Linked DNA regions of Drosophila melanogaster. The protein of the gene in region 1 interacts with the protein of each later gene in a pairwise test. Each region holds a gene or a part of one and is shown on either strand. Other genes may lie near its edges.

Region 1 (3,214 bases):
CATTTCATCTGCATCTGCATTTCGAGTGGTCCGGAGAGCAGGAGCCAGAACAGGAACAGAATCGGAATCGGAATCCGGATCAGGAGCCAAGGCAGGGGCACTGGCAGCATCAACAGCATTCAATTAATTTTCCGTACTTCTGCCATCCACAAAAGCGAAACTTTTGCAGTCCGACATCCGGCATTGTTGCCAACTTGAATGCTTATTTACGGACACAACAGCGCCAGAATCTCCCGGATTATGCCGAACATCATAAAACTTGTATCGACTCGTTAAACTGGCAAATGAAATGAACCCGACAGATGACAAAGCAGCCTCAATTATACGGATATCAAATGGAAATATGCAAAGTTAGTTGTAATATGGGGAATATTTCTTAGTATTAAACTATTGTGAACTATGCTAACGAGTAGTCTGATTAAATTTGAAAATATATTTAGTGAAGTGAGTGAGTTACTTCAAGTATGCCCGGAGCTTTCATTCATTTGCATGTATGGTTGTATTGTAGTAGCAGAACGAACACCTTCTTTGCATCGAAATTTCTCTAATAAGGTAATCGAATAGACGCAAGGATGTCCGCCGAAGTGGAGGAACTATTGAAGCGCTTTCAGTCCATGAAGAACGTCACCGGCATAGTTGTGGTGGACAACGACGGCATTCCGATCAAAACGACCCTGGACTACACTCTGACACTCCACTACGCGGCACTGATGCAAACGGTGCGGGAGAAGGCTCGCCAGGTGGTCCTGGATCTGGACGCCACCAACGAATTCACCTTCCTGCGGCTGCGGACTGAGCAGAATGAGGTGATGCTGTGCCCGCAGGAAGATTACTTCATCATGGTGATCCAGAGCCCGTGCGACTAGAGCACAATATTCCAGGCCCAAGCTCATTCCGCTGGCAATTATTTTCAGGCAGAGTGTTCAGTAAATGTTATTAAAATACTCGGCATAGTCTCGATTTCGCACACCAGCATTTCGTCATTAATAGCATTCAGTTGCAAATTATTTGCATTGGGAATCGCAATTGAATTGGAATGTCACTTGCGTGCGGAGCACTCTTATTCGATATGCATCCTTTGGCCCGCATGCATACATATACGATATGCATGGATCCTTTACCCCACGAAACCCGGCATCCTGTCCGGGCAAACTCATTTACAATAAATGAAGACTGACTGAGGCAGCCACGAAACAAATAAACTTTTTTGCGGCCTCGCCAGGATGCGAGCATGTAGGGATACGGATGCCACGGCCACCGAAGTGGAGGTTCCTCCTCTGGGCTTTGCTATTTTTCATTTAATTAAATATTTTACATGCAAAGTGCATTATGAGCAGTGGGCGAGGCAAAAACCAAGCAGATAACTTGGTAAAGTCACACGGGCGCCTCTCGGGAGGCCAGGACATCGATGCCAATCCATCTATCCACCGGTGCAGGACGAAACTATTCACTCGAGATAACTTCATGAACAGTTGTGGCAGGATATAGAGCACTACTGTCGCAGCCATCAATTCGAGACACCGCAAAAGGGGGGCAGAAAAGTGGATAAGTTATTTTTCACCTCGATCCTAGAGCCTTAACTTCATTAGCCTAATGACTAAATGCACTTTACCATGATCTACATCGATGTAGCTATTTTCTGCAGCTGCTTTTCCTGTTTCCTTACTGTTAGAGATGTTAATTGATTTTTTTTATAAACCTGTTCTTATTTATAGTTGTATTACCTTGGATTGGATCCTAGGATCATGTTTTCTTTATAAAATTTCCTTTTGACAATTGTAAATTAAATCCGAATCAAGCCAGTCGTCTTTCACCTGTCAGCATGTCCGGCGTAATCATATTTCTGTGTCTTCCAATCATTGTTTTCCATTTTCCCGAAAGCATGTGTGTCACTTAACAGCAAACATAACATAGATTGTTGGCTGCACACGTCCATCCCGAAATCCGTAATCCATAAACCGTGAACGTTACTCGTACAACCGATCCAATGATGTCCAGGAAAGGCAATCAACTCCACCCGTCATCAATCCGTCCATCATCGACCACACCGGACTGCAATCAGAAGCGGCGAGGCGACATGACAGCTCCTCCTCCGAACCCAAAGCCAGAGAAAAGCCGCATCATGGAGATGCATGCGATTTTTCTGGGGCACGACACTCGCGGCGACAATAAGATATCCATCCGGCACCTGGGCCACTGTCTGCGTGCGATGGGCGCCACTCCCACGGAGGCGATGGTCAGCAAACATGTCCGCCAGTACGAGGCCTCCACCATGCAGCGCATATGCTTCGATGAGGTCATGGGCATCTACTCCAGTCTTGGCAAGCACGGCGGCATGTTGTCTCCCAAGAAAAAACAGATCGAGGCGGACCAGTTCGTATCCAGTCTAAGGGTCTTTGATACGGATAAGTCCGGTTGGATTCCCGCCATCAGACTCCGGCGCATTCTAACCAAGACCGGGGAGTGCATGGGCAGCATGGAAGTGGACGAGCTGCTCCAGGGTAGGATCAACAAAGACGGCTTGGTCGACTACAAGAAGCTGGTTCAAGACATTATCTATGGGTAACTTGGGGGAAATCAAAAGGAAAGGAGAGTCATTCAGAGGAGCTGGAAATGGAAGAATAGCCCGGAAAACAAACCATATTTAGACAGGTGAAAAATGTGTTTCAAATAAATGTTTGTTTAAAAACCCAAAGAGAGCAACCTTAATGTTTCCAAAGCTATGCAGTCCAAAGAAGGATTGCATATTTTCAGGCGGTCTGAAAAAATAAGCAGCAAGGTACATACATATATACATATATATATGATAAGGGGTAATCATCAGATTAGGTAGATTTCTTTCCTATTCTGCTGGTATTATTTCATAAAATGTAACTGGAGAGTGGCATCTGTGAATCAATCGAAACTGCCCTCAGTGCCATTATTTATACAGAGTGCCCCACATATGGCATCATTAATTGTTCACCACACCCAGTACTCTGCAGGGAAATGAATGACCCAAAAAGGCAGCTGGACAGCTGAGTTCATCATCCATTTGGTAGTGGGATTCGGAATCGGAAACGCTGGCCGCCCAGAACAAGTGCAATGGATTGCAAATAATTTCAAAGCGCTGCCCCAAAACATGGAAAGTGCCTAATGCTAATGCGTGATGATGCCTCCAGCTGTGGTCAGCGATTCGGTGGGGAAGATTGGAAATAGGAGCACTAGTATTCGG
Region 2 (6,812 bases), on another chromosome or scaffold:
TCGCGTCTGTCAGAAAAAGCCACCCAACTCCACGATCTCCCAAGTGCTAACCATCGAGGATGAGCTGCGTCGCATCCACCACAAGGCGGAGGAATCCCGCTTCACAAAGCCCTATAAAAAGAAATGTGACCTCTACGACGATTTAACCATGTGCATCGTGCCACAACGAACTCCAGCGGAGCTAAAGACCCATGCCGAGATGCGAGAGCGAATTCTGGCCGCGCGCAAGGACTTTGGACTCGTCGAGCACGACGCCAGGGTCGATAGGCCATGTCCCAAAGATCTCGTCGTCCTCAACAGTCCCATGGACATGGGCGAGGAGGAACAACAGGCGGAGGAGGGCGAGGAAGAGGAGGAGGGCGAGGTCAAGCCACAACTAGCCACTCCAGAATGCAGTTCTGATATGATAATTATTCCGGACAAACGCATGGTATGTTTAGATATAGCTTATAAACTTGGTATAGACAATATTTCTCGATTCGTATAAACTACGTATCCCAAATTACCACCATTTCCAAATTATCTGCGGATTATTAAATTTTAACATGATCATAATAAGCAATTCTGGTTTATTAACCTTTTAATCAATCAAATCGAATTTGATTTAAACTAAATTATGAAGTAGATCTCTTATTGTTGTTGTTTTAAGAATTAATCTTAATAAAAGTCGAAGGCCTTAAGTACTTTTTTGGTGAAATGAACTCATTTAAGTTCATAACAAAACGATTTGTTGATTATAAATAACAGTCGACTACGCTGAGGCATAAGTTTAGACTAGCTTTAACCTTTTGATAAATTGATGTTTTTACTCGATCAATTCGATGTCATCGATATCGGCGTAAATACTTCCCGGTGGCAGTTCCGAAAGAGCGATTTCTCCTGGATCGTCTTGCCCATCTCCATCGGTAGTCGCCAGCGACAGGTTATGATAAGCTCCAGAAACAGCCTGTTGCTGCATGTGCACTCCCAGCTGGGAGATAAGTTCCAATGCCTGTACATCCGAGTTCATCAGAGCGAACTGGTGGATAATGGCTAGATGCGGAAAAACCCCATTCAGAAGAGTACTGGTTCCAGCGTTAATCTGATCATCCGGGTTTTCCTGGTCGCCATGTGCCTGCAGAGGTATTTCCCCCTCTGCAGCATCTGGTGTGCTGGATGGTGAGGACATCATGGTGGGCTCACATGTTACCAGCTCCACTTCATTATCCCCCTCTGGATGATCGGACATGATACTGTTTTCGCTGGAGAGATTGACAAAATCTGCCATAACAGCTGCTTTTGAGATTGCTTCGCCTGGATTATCCAGCTCCCGTTGCATGAAGTTCGGCAGTGCATGCTTAAACTCCACAATGATGTCTTCGACAGGCAGGTCCTGGTTCAAGGGATTTTCGCCCTGGTAGCCCAATTCATCGGCCTCGTACTTGTACTTGTTGCGGAATCGGCTTAGCCATCGATAGGATGGTCTGAAGGATGGCAGGTTCAACACAGCTGCCATCCGGATGGCGGTTTCCTTCAGTTTTTGGTTCCTTATGCTGATGTTCAACTGCATTTGGATGCACCTTTCCACCCACTCGTGTAGTAGGAAGCTGATGGCACTCATTTCGAACTTGCGGCGCTTGCGCGTCATCTCTTCGATTATAATGGAGGCATCTGCCTCGCTTAAGGTGGCCAACTGCTGCAGCAGATCCTTTTTCTTATCCAAGATTCTACGTATTTGGGTGGCGCAGCAGTGGAACATCTTGGCCAGACTGTTCCTAGAGATGTTGGTCTCGTCATAGTAACGGATTACGGCAATCTTTTCGTAGAATGTCAGGATGTTACGCTCATTGCGACGGGATTTGATCTAAAATATAGAGAGGGAAGAGTATAAGATTAACCTAAGATTAGTATTAAATATATTTTAAGCAATTTAATAAATTATTAGATATCTGCAACTATTAGGGTACAAGCCACATTTGTTGACCACCTCTTATATCCTGTCGAAAATTTCCATGCAGAAGTGTTACTGGGCGGATAAGTAATTTTTTCTCTCAGTGTCGTATATATATATATACGTATATTTCTTTTCCAATAAGCTCTATAGAATTTGTACATTTTTATAGATAATATTATTGTTGTATATGAACATAGTGCGAATTTGGCATTACAATGAAAACAGAGGCCTATACGAACTGCAACACTAAGCTAGCCTTAAGGGATTAACGGCCTCCGTTTCGATCATGCAAAGGGTGTGCATGTAAAGGACCTTGGTTGCAAGCCACGCAGCTCAAGGGTAAATGAATGTACGATATGTGTGCGGTATACATGTACATATGTATGCATATGCTTGTGTACACGTGTTTAGTGTAACTGCCGCGTGTCCACTCGAGACACGTTATAAAATCCACCCTCAGCGGGTCGCTTAAGGGCCAAGTTAACAGACATATCTGGTCCCTTGTCCCTTTGCGACTACTTACCCCTTTGGTGTTGTTGTTGTTGTTGCGCCGCAACGTTGTTGTTGGCAGGGCGGCAATAGCAGCCATTTCAATAGTTGTGTTAAGTCAATTGCAACTAGGTTTCTGCTCTTTCCGTTCTCCTTCTTTTCCTTCTCCACTTCTTCTTTTCCGATAACTGCGCAGCAGCTTCTTGCGCTCTTACGGCTGTAGTCGTTCCGCTCTCGCGCCACTTAGATCATGCGTCAGAGGGAGATAGAGATGTGTTCGTGCGAGACTCCTTTTTGAAGCTGTTACAGAGAAAACGTAATAAAACAGAAATAAAAGCAATATTAATACTGTTGATGCAAATGGCTAAGCGTTTGTTAGTCACTTTTTACGAAAGTTGGCACGGCACGTTCTCAAATTCGCTTTGCCTCTGTATTAGCTTTTGTTGTTGCGCCTCTGACATTTTTACAATTACTGAGTAATAACACACTTGTGTGCCCTGTTTCTGTTTCTTGGTTCCGCTCTTCGTTTCTCTGCGCCTGTGTGTGTGTGCGTTCAGTGCGCGCTCCGTATGAAATAAAAACGGTTCACTATGCTCAATCCCTTTTGCATGGTGTTTGCTGTTGTAGCAACGCAGCTGTTACTTTTGTACAGTGCAGGTCAAGTTACTAGCGTACTTCACTAGAAAGGGTATTAAACCACTAGACAATGCTTAGATGATTTGATTGTAGGAAGAGATTAGAGCTGATTCTGGCAAACCAGGGAAGCAAGCAGAATATTTTGGGTTTCATAAGTAATTATAGTTGGCGAAAACAAAACAATATATACAATTTCATATTTGTCATATTAATAACAAATGCAGTTATCAACTGCAGAAAGGCTTAATTCTAGTAATAAAACATGGCAGTTTTTTTATGAATTAATATTAAGGCTTTCAAATATTCAATTACAGTCCTTATCCTGCAAATACCCCAAATACTTTGGGAACCCTGGTAACATCGACTACTTTTAAGGCGTTAATTGTTAATTTGCTGATCTTATGTATCTAGTATATATGTACATATGTATACATGTATAAATACATGTCTGCACCTAAAAAGTGAAACTCTCTATTTGCCCGCTGTTATGTGCGTTGTTGGTCTATTGCATCGGCAGTGGGCATGGTATGCAAAAGCAGTGCGGTTGCAGTCGCTTCGCTCTTGTGTCATATGCGTTTGCGTTTCGCCGCGTTTGTTGTTTGTTATGTATCAATTTTTGTTGTCGGTGGAAGGAGCAGGAGCGTGGCGATGACAGGAGGGGGTGGCAAGGCTATATGCTGGGTTACCGATTAAAGTCCGATTCCTCGTCGGATTGCCCGCCGCAAAAACCTCGCTCTATCTTGGCTAATTACCTTTGCGTCACAGATAAGAGCCTGTCTACTTTTACTCTTCCAACGATTCGTTTGGTGGCCGAAGTGATATAAGCTCGCTCTAAAGTCTTTGGGGCGTTCATAGCTAGCTTCTTATCGGTCCAGATCGTTGTTAGACAACAGAGAAATTCCCTATTATTCGTTCATTTAAACTAACTGTCTAAAAAGGTATAGTTATTGTATGTTTTAGGCACTAAAAGAACATCAATTCTGTTCAGCATTATTTTTGTTAGCTATATACTAGCTATTAAAAAGGTCCTTGAAATAAAACTATTAAATGAAGTTTACTCTTTTGAAGTTTTCTCTGTATATGCAGACAAGCTCTGTTTTTCGAGGTGCCAGACCGCTGCTTACAAAACACTTGGCTGTCCATCCCCATATGCATGTGTATCTCAATTTCGCTGGGCGGCTGCACCTCGCAAATACCAAACTTAAGTTGAGTTTTAAGCCATCTCGAAGTTTGCTCTTGCAGCCTCAGCATCATTGATGAAAGGGCTGCCTTAAAGTGGAATACTTCAGCAGTTCCTAGTCTTTCTTTGAATTAGGTCTCTGGATGAAATTAATAACTTATGGTCATTTTCTTGTATTTCACTGACATTTAATTATATATTAAGAATATTCGTTTGCATAAGGTATATGATAACTCAAAAAAACATGTCCTTTGGATCCCACTACATGAATAAAATAAGCATTTGTCTTCTCAAAGTATTGTTCTTAAAATAAAATATAATTAAGTGGACATCCCACCACACCTGCCTTGCGAATGATCATGTGTCTGAAGTCCCCGTACGCGGAACACACCGAGCCCCATCGTAACCCCGCCTAGTTTGACATTTTGCCAGCTAGCTCGCCCATGGAAAGAGGGTTGCGTTGTTGGAATTGGAACCGACTTGTACTGTTGGCAAGTGCGCCTTGGTATTGGTGTTAGTATTGGTATTGACGTGGTCGTATGCTATAACAGTGCGATACTGCGGCGCTCACCTGGTTCACCTGGTCGTCGATTTGGATGCCTGTTGTTTCTGTTTTTGCTGCAGCACGCTACTTACTAGATGACTTGTTTGTTCTGCAGCCGAGGCAGCTTCGTATTTGCTCGGGGTCCGGGTTTTTGGTCTCGGGCTAGTCGGTTTTTGGTCTGGTTGGGTTTTTGGCTTTTGGACGACCGAACGAACGAGAGCGATAAGATTCCGTGATGTGGCACTAAGCGCTGTTCGTTGTTTACTGCTCTGTGCATGGGACGCCTCTGTTGTTTGGTGCCCGTCATCGTGGCCAGCCAGCCATAGAGGCACACTCACCAACACAGACGCACTGCGAACCCATACATATATAGCGCATGCCATCGTATACCACATATAGCGCGGCGACATCAGGTCGTTATAGTCAGTCTAGTTGGCATTTCGTGCTTACCTTATGCCGCTAACTAACTTCTTGATGAGCGCAAAAAACAGCGGAGGAGAAAAAACAGGCCTCCCGTAAATACCATCCATACCATACCTTGCCATACAACACAATACTGAAATGCCATACCCAGACCAAGACCAAGGCAAAGACCAACGGGGCGTCGGGCATCGGTGGCGTATGCGTGCTATTTTCAGCCGCATTAAAAGCTTATGGCCATGGCCAGGAAAACCGAGTCGCCGAGTGAAAGCACAGAGCTTGCACAGAGCCAAGCGTTGATAACTGGCCATATGTTACCCAATCCATCGCCAGCCAAGACTATGAATTCACTGAATATTTCAATTGGCTGGACATATCCTTACGCAATTTGGGTTACACTAAGTGCGCCATTTGTTGACCACACATACAGAAATTATTTGGATATGGTTGTAATGTATTTTAGCTTATTTTTATTTTATTCATGTATATCGGTTGCAATTATAAATTTAATTTACCGACCTCATTGAATATTAATATAATCTTAAAAAAAAGAAATGATATATTTATACAACCTGCGCAGTTGGAGCTAAAGCGTCCCAAGAGTCGCATATACCTAAACGAAACTGAAGTTGGACCCTTGGAGGAGCTCCCCTTTTCATCTTACAATCCGCGAATCCTGCAAGAAGGCTTAGAAGGAGAAAACCTCAAGACCTTCGATATCATTGAGGGCTGCAGTCCACAGGATTTGTGGACCTGGAATGTGGGCTACCAGAAGAGAGAGGAGCATATGGATCAGGAGTTCATATCCGCCTCCCTGCCGAAATATGGTGTGTAGTTAGCGAATAGAACTATCTTTTTTCCAAGAGATTTGCATTCCTAATCTAGGCTTTTCAAAATTTCACAGAAAACGACGGCGAACTTACGCTCTATAATATACCACAACAGCTGGAAAAGACGTTTACTGCTGAGATTGTGTTTGGGAATCGGAACATCTATCCTGAACCAAAGAAGGAGCCCAACCGTTTGCAGTGAGTAATCTGATTTCTTTGCTAGTAATGCTTAGTTACTAATACCCTCCAATAAAATATATAACTCCTCCTTACATTAAATCCAGGTACTATTATCGGCCTAGTGAAATCGGTGCCATTATAGTCGCTTTCGTAGAGACCTTTCGTTTGAATCCCGATTTCTGGACGGGATCTACAATGGATGGGATTCTAAAGCGCGGAGTGAAATTGACCAAAAAGAGCGCCGACCTAAACTACAAGTCAGACGTGAATGATTTCGATATAATCCAACAGGTTGCGGAACGAGACGCCGCCGTTGAGATTAAGATACACTTCTCGGGACTTTTGAAAAACGAACCAAATATGTACAAAGCACTTTCCCTATTCTTCTCCAAATACAATGCCTGCATCTTTACGTCCCGGGATCTCTTCCTGCTGATCTGGAAGCGCTGCTTAAACTCGTACTATATCTTCGATCCCAATGGACGTGATGAAAACTGCGAACGGAATTTCGAGGAGGGAAAGTGCTCACTGATGGCCACTCGCTATACGGAGCACTTGGTCCATTTGATCACCAAGTTTAGCGATCTGCAGCCGCAGGAT
Region 3 (3,191 bases), on another chromosome or scaffold:
TCCTCCAAGGTGGCCATGTTCAACAACCAGGCCACGCAGCACAAGCAGTCGCAGCTGCTGAATCCATTTTCCCAGGACGGACGCGCCGCCTCGCCGAAACCCACTTTCTCGAAGGATCAGTATGGAAAACCACTGGCCGGCAGCCTTACAGAGATGCGTGGCCAGAAGGCCAACATCCACGTGATGAAGGAGATGCTGGAGCTCTGCCAGATCATCAATTCGGAGGGCTACGACGTCAAGGACGAGCCCACTATGCGTGTGATCCCCTTCGGCGAACTTTTTAATGTGAGTGTCCTGTTTACAGCTGGTATATTTTTCGAAAAGCCCTCTAAACTGGTCACTTCCACTCTACAGATCTATAACTACATATCCGACAAGGTGGTGGGCATCCTGCTGCGGGCCCGCAAACACAAGTTGGTAGACTTCGAGGGCGAGATGTTGTACCAGCGGAGGGACGATGACGTTCCCGTCTTTCTGCTGAAGCCCATCAAGGAAATACGCAGTGAGATGGAGGCCAAGATTGAAGACATCAAGAGGGCGGCTAGTCCAGCGCCTCCGCAGTCCACCTCGGTGCTGATGGATCGCAGTGCTCACGAACAAAAACTGAAGTCGAGGACTCCCTCGCCGGCTGTGGGCAAGTCCGCCAAGTCGAAGTCAGCGTCGCCGGCACCCAAGGCTCCTGTACCTGTTCCTGCGCCTGCTGCAGAAGTCACGCCTGTGGCTGGGCCCACAACTTCTGCAGAACCTGCTCCTGTGGCAGAGTCCACTATGGCAGCAGTTCCAGCTCCGTCTACAGAGCCCACACCGGCAACAGCTCCTGCTTCGAGTACCGTTGAGATCGAGCCAGCCAAGCCAGAGGTGACCGAACAGGCGCCCGTGGCTGTGATAGTCACAGAAGCACCATCCACAGAAGAAACCACACCAACCACCAGCGAACCGCAGGCGGAGGAAGCACCCGCTGCAGTTGCACCGGCAGGACCTGCTGATGACTTACCCACAATTGTGATTGAAGCCACCGCCGAGTTTGTACGCACCGTCAGCGTGGAGCAGCTGGCGCCCAGTCCCGGAACGGCCAGCGAGTCCTCGCCAGACCAGTCCCAATCCCAACCAGAGTCGACGCCCGCTTAAGGCGGAACAGGGAGCTTGTTAGCTGGGAAGGAAGGAAGGAACATCCCCTTAAATCGTTTAAAAGGAACTCTCGCAACTACTAAAGCGGCAGCTTTAAATTGCAGTAGTTTAGTTTACGGCGTACTTAGTTTAATTTACAATTAGAGCAACACAACACTGAAGACAGAATCGAGAGTAACTTTTTATTTATTATTATTACTTGTATATTATTAATGGACGACCAAAGGAGCCAGTTTCCTCAATTTGTTAACCATTACTCTATGGAAATGAACTACGGTTTCCCACTCACAAAAGTTGGGAACGTGCAAGGCAATAAAATACTAATAAAATAAATACACGTACATAGACACAATATAACCAAGTCCTGTTTTTCTAGTTTCAAAACGATTGGAAGTGCTGGTTTCATAACTAACTAAATGACTCATTGCCTAGGCAGTTTTATGTGCTCTTTCTCGTAGTTGTTCTCTGCTTTTAATCTTTAATTAAAAATTCGGCCGTTACTATATCAACTTTTCTTCGCGATAGTTATCGATAAGTATATCAATTGCAGGGCAGCAAAGCAAAGTTAAGAGGACGAGGCGTGGGTATCGATTAACGATACTTCGTAATTTCAAGCAGCTGATATCGATTGGACGACAGGGCTGGACCTCACAAATAAATATAAAACCAAAATATTCAGTGGTTTCTCAATTTGAAGAATAATACAAACGGAAAATGTCTGCCCTGCGCCGTGATGTGTCGCCTTTAATCCAGCGCATTCGGGCCTTCCTCCTGGGTGTGAGTATCCGACATTTGGACAGCGACCGCAGAGAACTCGGTTCTCAGTTATATAAGACGGAAAATGTGAATCTCTGATTAATCTGGACGCCAATTACAGCGGGAGCACAACCTGGCCCTGCGCTTCGAGGACGGACTGGCCGATCGCACCCAGCCACAGCCGGAAATCCCTGACGGTCCATCGCATCTACTCTCGGCCAACTACTACTGCCAGCGGGATGGACGTCGCGAGGTTCTGCCGCCCATCGACCTGGTGGAGCAGCAGAAGCAGCTGGCGGCAGAGGGGGAAGCGGCGAAGGCCCCGTCTTCCAAGCTGCCCACTCCCGGCAAGGTCTATGCCTGGGATTAATGGGCCGCATCACCGCGGGAATCGCCTTTTTTTGAGTTGTAGTACGAGCCGGTTAAAGCTAATATAGAATCAAATTGAAGCAGAAATGCGTGCATTGGTATGTTCAGTGATGAAGGGCCAAGTGAAAGGCCCCTTACCAGCCCACAATGTTTCGAAACCCCACTTCCGGGAAAAATCACCATCCATTTTTTTTTGAGTTGTAGTACGAGCCGGTTAAAGCTAATATAGAATCAAATTGAAGCAGGAATGCGGGCATTGGTATGTCCAGTTATGGGGGGCCAAGTGAGAACCCCTTACCAGTCCACATTATTTCCAAATCACACTCGCCGGAAAAAACACCATCCATCACTGGATATCATTATGTACAAGTATTTTATTCAAATATTTACAGAGCCCATCACTTACAACTAGTTAAAAAAAAAAAATCACAATCCAGGAACACCTAATAGACGCGCGGCTTGAGGCCACAATTGATTCCGGTGGTCGAGCGCAGGATAACGTTCAGTACGGGCTGGACTTCTTCGCCCAGAGGCAGCAACTCAAAGTGTCTCACCATTTTGCTGATGGTGCTCTTCATCTCGAGCATTGCGAACTTTTGGCCGATGCAGTTTCTCGGACCCGCTGAGAAGGGAGTATAGGCGAATGGACTGATCTCGCCCTTGCGCTCCATGCTGAAACGATCAGGGATGAACTTCTCCGGATCAGGGAAGTAGTCTGGATCGCGCTGAGCATGGTAAATAAGAATGATCACATTCGAGTCGGCGGGTATCAATTTGCCGTCGAGTACGGTGTCCTGGGAAATGTAGCGTCCAATGATCGGCACCGAGGGAAACAGGCGCAGAGACTCCTTTATCACGCACTCTAAGTACTTGAGCTCGCCGAGTAGCTTCATAGTAACTGGAGCCGACTTGTCATCACCGATAACATCTCTGACCTC
Region 4 (4,944 bases), on another chromosome or scaffold:
GAGCTTGAGAAACTTCGCAGCCGTTGGCGATAAAAACAACGCAGCCGATAATGCTAATGCCAGCGATGTGGACGAACGCCACCCGCTGCATGGTATCCGGATTTTGGACCTATCGCGCATCATCGCCGGCCCCTATTGCACCATGGTTCTGGCGGATCTCGGCGCGGAAGTTATCAAGGTGGAGCGTCCACACTTTGGCGATGAGGCGCGTAAGTGGGGACCACCCTTTCTAAAGAACAGCAACGATGCCGCCTACTTCCTGGCTCCCAATCGCAATAAACGGAGCATCTGCATCGATATCAAGCGCGGCACGCAACTCCTTCATCGCCTGGCCGAGATTAGCGACGTGCTGGTGGAGAATTATGTGCCCGGCACCTTGGAGCGTTACGGCCTGGGCTACGAGCAGTTGCGTAAGGTGAATCCCAAACTGATCTATTGCTCAATGACGGGTTATGGCTCTGTGGGACCGTATGCCAAGCGACCCGGCTACGATGTGATTGCCTCCTCGGTTGGAGGACTGATGCACATCACCGGCGAGCGGGATGGACCGCCCAGCAAGGTGGGCGTGGCTGTGACGGATATGTCCACAGGACTGTACGCCCATGGAGCAATTTTGGCAGCCCTCTATCAAAGGACCCGCACGCAACGTGGCCAGAAGATCGAAGTCGACCTGTTGTCCACCTGCTGCTCCCTGCTGCTCAACGTGGGTAGCAACTACCTGAATTCCGGGGTCGAAGCAGGAAGGATGGGCACCGCACACTCCAGCATCGTTCCGTATCAGAGCTTCAAGACGAAGGACGGCTATCTCACCCTGGGCACTGGCAGTGATGTTCAGTTTGTGGACCTGTGTCGCCGCCTAAAAGTGGAACATTTGGCGCAGAATCCCAAATTCAAGACCAACAAGGATCGTGTGACCAATCGAGTGGAGCTGCTGGGAATCCTAGAGCAAATGCTATCCGAGGACACCTCGCGCAACTGGATGAAACTTTTCGAGGGCGCCTCCTTTCCCGTGGGACCTGTTAACTCCATTCCCGAGGTCTTCGAGGACGAGCATATAAAAGCCATTGGCCTGGTGAAAAGCCTGCGGCATCCCAAGGACGAAACAGTCAAGGTGGTTGGTCCTCCTGTGACCTTCAGCGAAGCGCGAAACGATGCCCGGACAGCTCCTCCGATTCTTGGCCAGCACACGGATGAAGTGCTGGGCGAACTACTGGGTTACGGGCCGGATGAGCTGGCCAAGCTGAAGAAGGATAACATTATTCAGTAACCCGATTGGGATTTCGGACAGTCTAAAGTGATTTGAATTCCTAAATCCTCTGATATATACTGCTTTATATGGTCTTTTGCGACCAATATTTTAGTGATAATCATGCATTTACCATTAGACCGACTAAAGGCCTTAAAAAATAAATGACAATTTCTCATAAAAATGCAACGAATAACATGAAGAGGCTGGACTAACGATCTGATAGCTAAGTAATACAAAGTCGTTAGCGGAATTTCATTAGAACTCGATTTGCTAACTTCTACGACGGGGTCAAAAGACCATGAAAAAGGGCAAAGATTATTTTTCGTATAATCTCGTATGTGTCGTAAATATCATGAAGTAAATGACTGTAAACATTTTGATTTTTACCTAGTTAAGGTACGATGTATACGCAACCAAACAAATACGGCTAGAAAGCTATTTCCTGGTCGGGGTGAAATATACTGGATTAAACGTCAACACTTAAAGCTATAATCAAAAACACGTTCGTTAAATATCGTCAATTAGTATCTCACAAACTCAAAATGCGATATCTCTATAGAAATCGAAATTAGGCTAAGCTGAAATTCCGAAACGAATGTTACATGGTATAACTACTACGACTGAAAATGGGCTTAAGAACAATATGCGCGCCTTTAGTTTAAGGCAGTAGTTTAAACAATGCATGAGCCATTATGAAACGGTCTTATAAACGGTCTTCAAAGGGTAATGTTCAGATTTCAGCGATATACATAGAAAGATTACATGAAACCAAGCTCCATGGATATGAATAATATATTGCTTAAGCAGAATTATAGACTTTTGATATCATTTCGAAAAATAGAATAGGTAAATACCGGCCAAGCAAATTTAGACTGCGTCAATACGTGAAAACATTCTTTCCACAGCTTCCATCAAGTAGATCATAATATCATAAGATCTAACTGATTATCAAATATTGACCTTAATGTCGATCGAGCTATATGTTGTCTACACAAGAAGTCCTAACGCACTCTACACTTTAAGTCCTTGATGCAATATTCTCCAATGATTCTGCAGTTGTCCATTGACCTCTTTTCTTTGTGACAAGAAGGTGATAGTCGTTTTCTTCTATGGATTTCTATTTCTAATAATAATTTCTATTCCCTGGCCTTGAACGTAATCGCTTGATTGGCCTGTTCCGACAGGCGGAGTAGTAGCCGTGCAGGATGAGTGATTGGGGCGGGGTTCTTGCGCACCGGCGATTCGCTTACCTGAGCCACAGCTCCTCCAGGTGCAAACGGATGACGGTCACTATCGATTTCAGCACTGGCAAAAAGGTCGGATTTAGGGGCAGGTGGCACAACTATGGGTGGGAGAACTCACTTGCAAATCAACCAAAAATACAAATATGTAGGTCTGTATGTGTATGTGTATAAACTGTCCAATGGAGCGTCTGCTCGCCAGGAACCCAAAACTAAAACTGAAACTACAACTCAAATTGCAGGTGCTGTCCAAAATGGAATAGCAACAACAACGGCAGCGACGTCGACGTCTATAACAGAATTTGTTTGTTTTGGCCCACTGTTGTCGTTGTTGTTGTTACTGCCGCTGCCGTTGTTGTTTGTGTGCGCAAAGTGCATAGACCGCATCCGCGTCTTAGCCTCCAGCTTGGCCCCAAAGCCAGCGCCCCATCCGATCCCGCCCACGCCCCTCCGGCGACGCGGGTGTGGATTTCGCACTTAATGGGTTGAGTTGGGAATATGGGAAAAGGTTAGTTGGCGACGCAGTGGGCTATCAATTAACAGTTAGTTAACTGCCTCTTCGCCTTGCCTGCAAAGTGTGACCAGAACAGGGATTGAGACGGGAGGTTACGGTCATACTTAATTTCTAATTTAATTCATAATTTGAAATAAAATTGGTTTTATTGTGACGATAAATTTATAGCTTATTTTACGGTTTTTAAAACAGATTAAGTTAAAATTTCAGATTTCAGCTTATAATTATTTCATACATATTTTCTAATTTTTCCGAATTAGTTTGTCCACTAAGAACTTTAAGCACCTAAAATTATTTTTCATCTTTCTGTTATTTGAATTCAAAGCTTAGACAATTTTAACTTGTACGTAAAGTAGTATAATTACACATTTTTGTTTTTTAACTATTATAATCTTATGTTAGTTATAAAAGCGAAGGACCTTACCAGTTACTTCAGGCCTTCTATAATCACAAAAAGTCTTTAAAGAATTTCGCAGCAACTAATATACCCTACGAGAAGTGAAGTTCCCCTTTACAATGCCATTGATCTACTCTAACCACCTCCACCGCATTTGTTATTAAAACCAGCCACCGCAACAAACTAATGACAGATGCTTATCTGCCCAAGCAATCGAAGTCCCAGACAAAGAATTGCGAGACGTTTAGTTTCCCATTATTATCCCCGAAAACGTTGGACTTTGGACCAAGTTGGGGGAGATAGAAACTTTATTCAAAACTAGCCGCCCGTTTTGGGGCAGCGTTATAGGTTGGTATTTTTCGTTGATAAGATTAAACAAACATCGCAATGCGGTCACATCGTCATTGTTGATTTGTGATAGCTGTTAAATAATAATAATTCCGTTTTACGAATTTTGTAAAGATGAGCAAGCAGCCCTCGTTCGTGTCGCGCAACCTGGTGGCCGTCGTGATGATCCCCAGTCTGGTGGGGATCCATCTGGGCTGGAGCTACATGCAGAGCAACCGAAAACTGGTCACGGAGGCGGAACAGATCGAGATGCCGCCGGTCACGGTATGTTAGTCCTAATTCTTAAGGCGATCACCTCAAGACAGCAGCTCCTCTTTTTGTCCAGTTTGCCAGGTTTGTGTGGAACAAGCTAACGGGCGCAGGAAGTTCGACGGAATGACAAACCCTCTGGTGATGAGCTTAAGACATACAATCTATTTATTGTATAGAATAATTAAAACTACATGCAAACTGTATGGTACAATCGGCTGCTGCCCGGGCGACACATGTTGGCCGGGCTGCAGGTTGGGACACAGACAAAATGGAGATATAAAGCCAGAGACTACACATACTTAGTCTAGGGGGACAAGAGAGATTACTGCGTGAGGGCCGAGTGAACGGTGAGGTTGCCCAGCTGTGCGTTGAATAGAACGTCGCTGATCAGTTTCTCGGCCACGATCCGCTGCGTCGGGTTGATGGAGCGCAGTTTGCTCGCCACATTCACGCCAATGGCATCGTACTCGTCGTCTTGCCGGTGCGATGTGCTCGTAGCCGCTGTGGTGGTATAGGCAGTGGTGCCGGCATTGCCAAACAATGGCTGATAGTGATCGCGGCCTATCTGGATGGTGGGAACGCCCTGATGTTGGCCATTCGTCTGCTGCAGGTGGAGCTGCTGCTGGTGGTGCTCCAGATGATTGACCGCCTGCGTGGGGAGAGGAGGTGATTGAAGACCCTAAGGAACTCTTCACTGCTTTGGAGCTACTCACTTGTTGTATCTCGCGCTGGGAGTTGGAGTCTAGGGAGGTGATCTCTAAGACCTTCACGGCATGTCCCTGAGCCGCCGCCGCCGCAATGGAGGTCTGGGCTGCTGCATGGGCTACCATTTGCTGGTGTGCTTGGGCTGCGGCTGCCGCTGCTTCGGCCGCCTGGTGCTCCTCGCTCTTGACAAGGGTCACACATTCCGCGGGCGTCACCGAAATGGTGCTCAGAGTGGCGC

What was found.
Region 2: the proteins of CG17237 (region 1) and ebd2 interact in a two-hybrid assay, tested with the Drosophila melanogaster proteins (one large-scale study listed by BioGRID).
Region 3: the proteins of CG17237 (region 1) and ND-B14.5A interact in a two-hybrid assay, tested with the Drosophila melanogaster proteins (one large-scale study listed by BioGRID).
Region 4: the proteins of CG17237 (region 1) and CG5191 interact in a two-hybrid assay, tested with the Drosophila melanogaster proteins (one large-scale study listed by BioGRID).

What each region holds. Positions count from the first base shown.
Region 1 is NT_033779.5:2,287,981-2,291,194, reverse strand, and holds CG17237 (uncharacterized protein), read left to right. Parts: upstream 1-1,778; 5' UTR 1,779-1,987; coding exon 1,988-2,566; 3' UTR 2,567-2,692; downstream 2,693-3,214. Other genes in the region: robl22E, read left to right, coding at 573-866.
Region 2 is NT_037436.4:21,344,233-21,351,044, forward strand, and holds ebd2 (earthbound 2), read right to left. Parts: upstream 5,057-6,812; 5' UTR 4,810-5,056; intron 2,838-4,809; exon of another isoform or gene 2,806-2,837; intron 2,723-2,805; 5' UTR 2,523-2,722; coding exon 2,457-2,522; intron 1,844-2,456; coding exon 806-1,843; 3' UTR 536-805; downstream 1-535. Other genes in the region: CG32436 (uncharacterized protein), read left to right, coding at 1-430, 5,783-6,029, 6,107-6,230, 6,317-6,812.
Region 3 is NC_004354.4:2,170,801-2,173,991, forward strand, and holds ND-B14.5A (NADH dehydrogenase (ubiquinone) B14.5 A subunit), read left to right. Parts: upstream 1-1,725; 5' UTR 1,726-1,842; coding exon 1,843-1,905; intron 1,906-2,005; coding exon 2,006-2,254; 3' UTR 2,255-2,632; downstream 2,633-3,191. Other genes in the region: CG3630 (uncharacterized protein), read left to right, coding at 1-285, 355-1,128; Cyp4d14 (cytochrome P450 4d14), read right to left, coding at 2,697-3,191.
Region 4 is NT_033777.3:20,558,967-20,563,910, reverse strand, and holds the start of CG5191 (uncharacterized protein), read right to left. Parts: upstream 3,047-4,944; 5' UTR 2,613-3,046; coding exon 2,612-2,612; exon of another isoform or gene 2,555-2,611; coding exon 2,500-2,554; intron 1,426-2,499; exon of another isoform or gene 1,268-1,425; coding exon of another isoform or gene 1-1,267. Other genes in the region: CG10877 (uncharacterized protein), read left to right, coding at 1-1,267; CG15922 (uncharacterized protein), read left to right, coding at 3,864-4,013, 4,075-4,128; CG5180 (uncharacterized protein), read right to left, coding at 4,324-4,650, 4,715-4,944.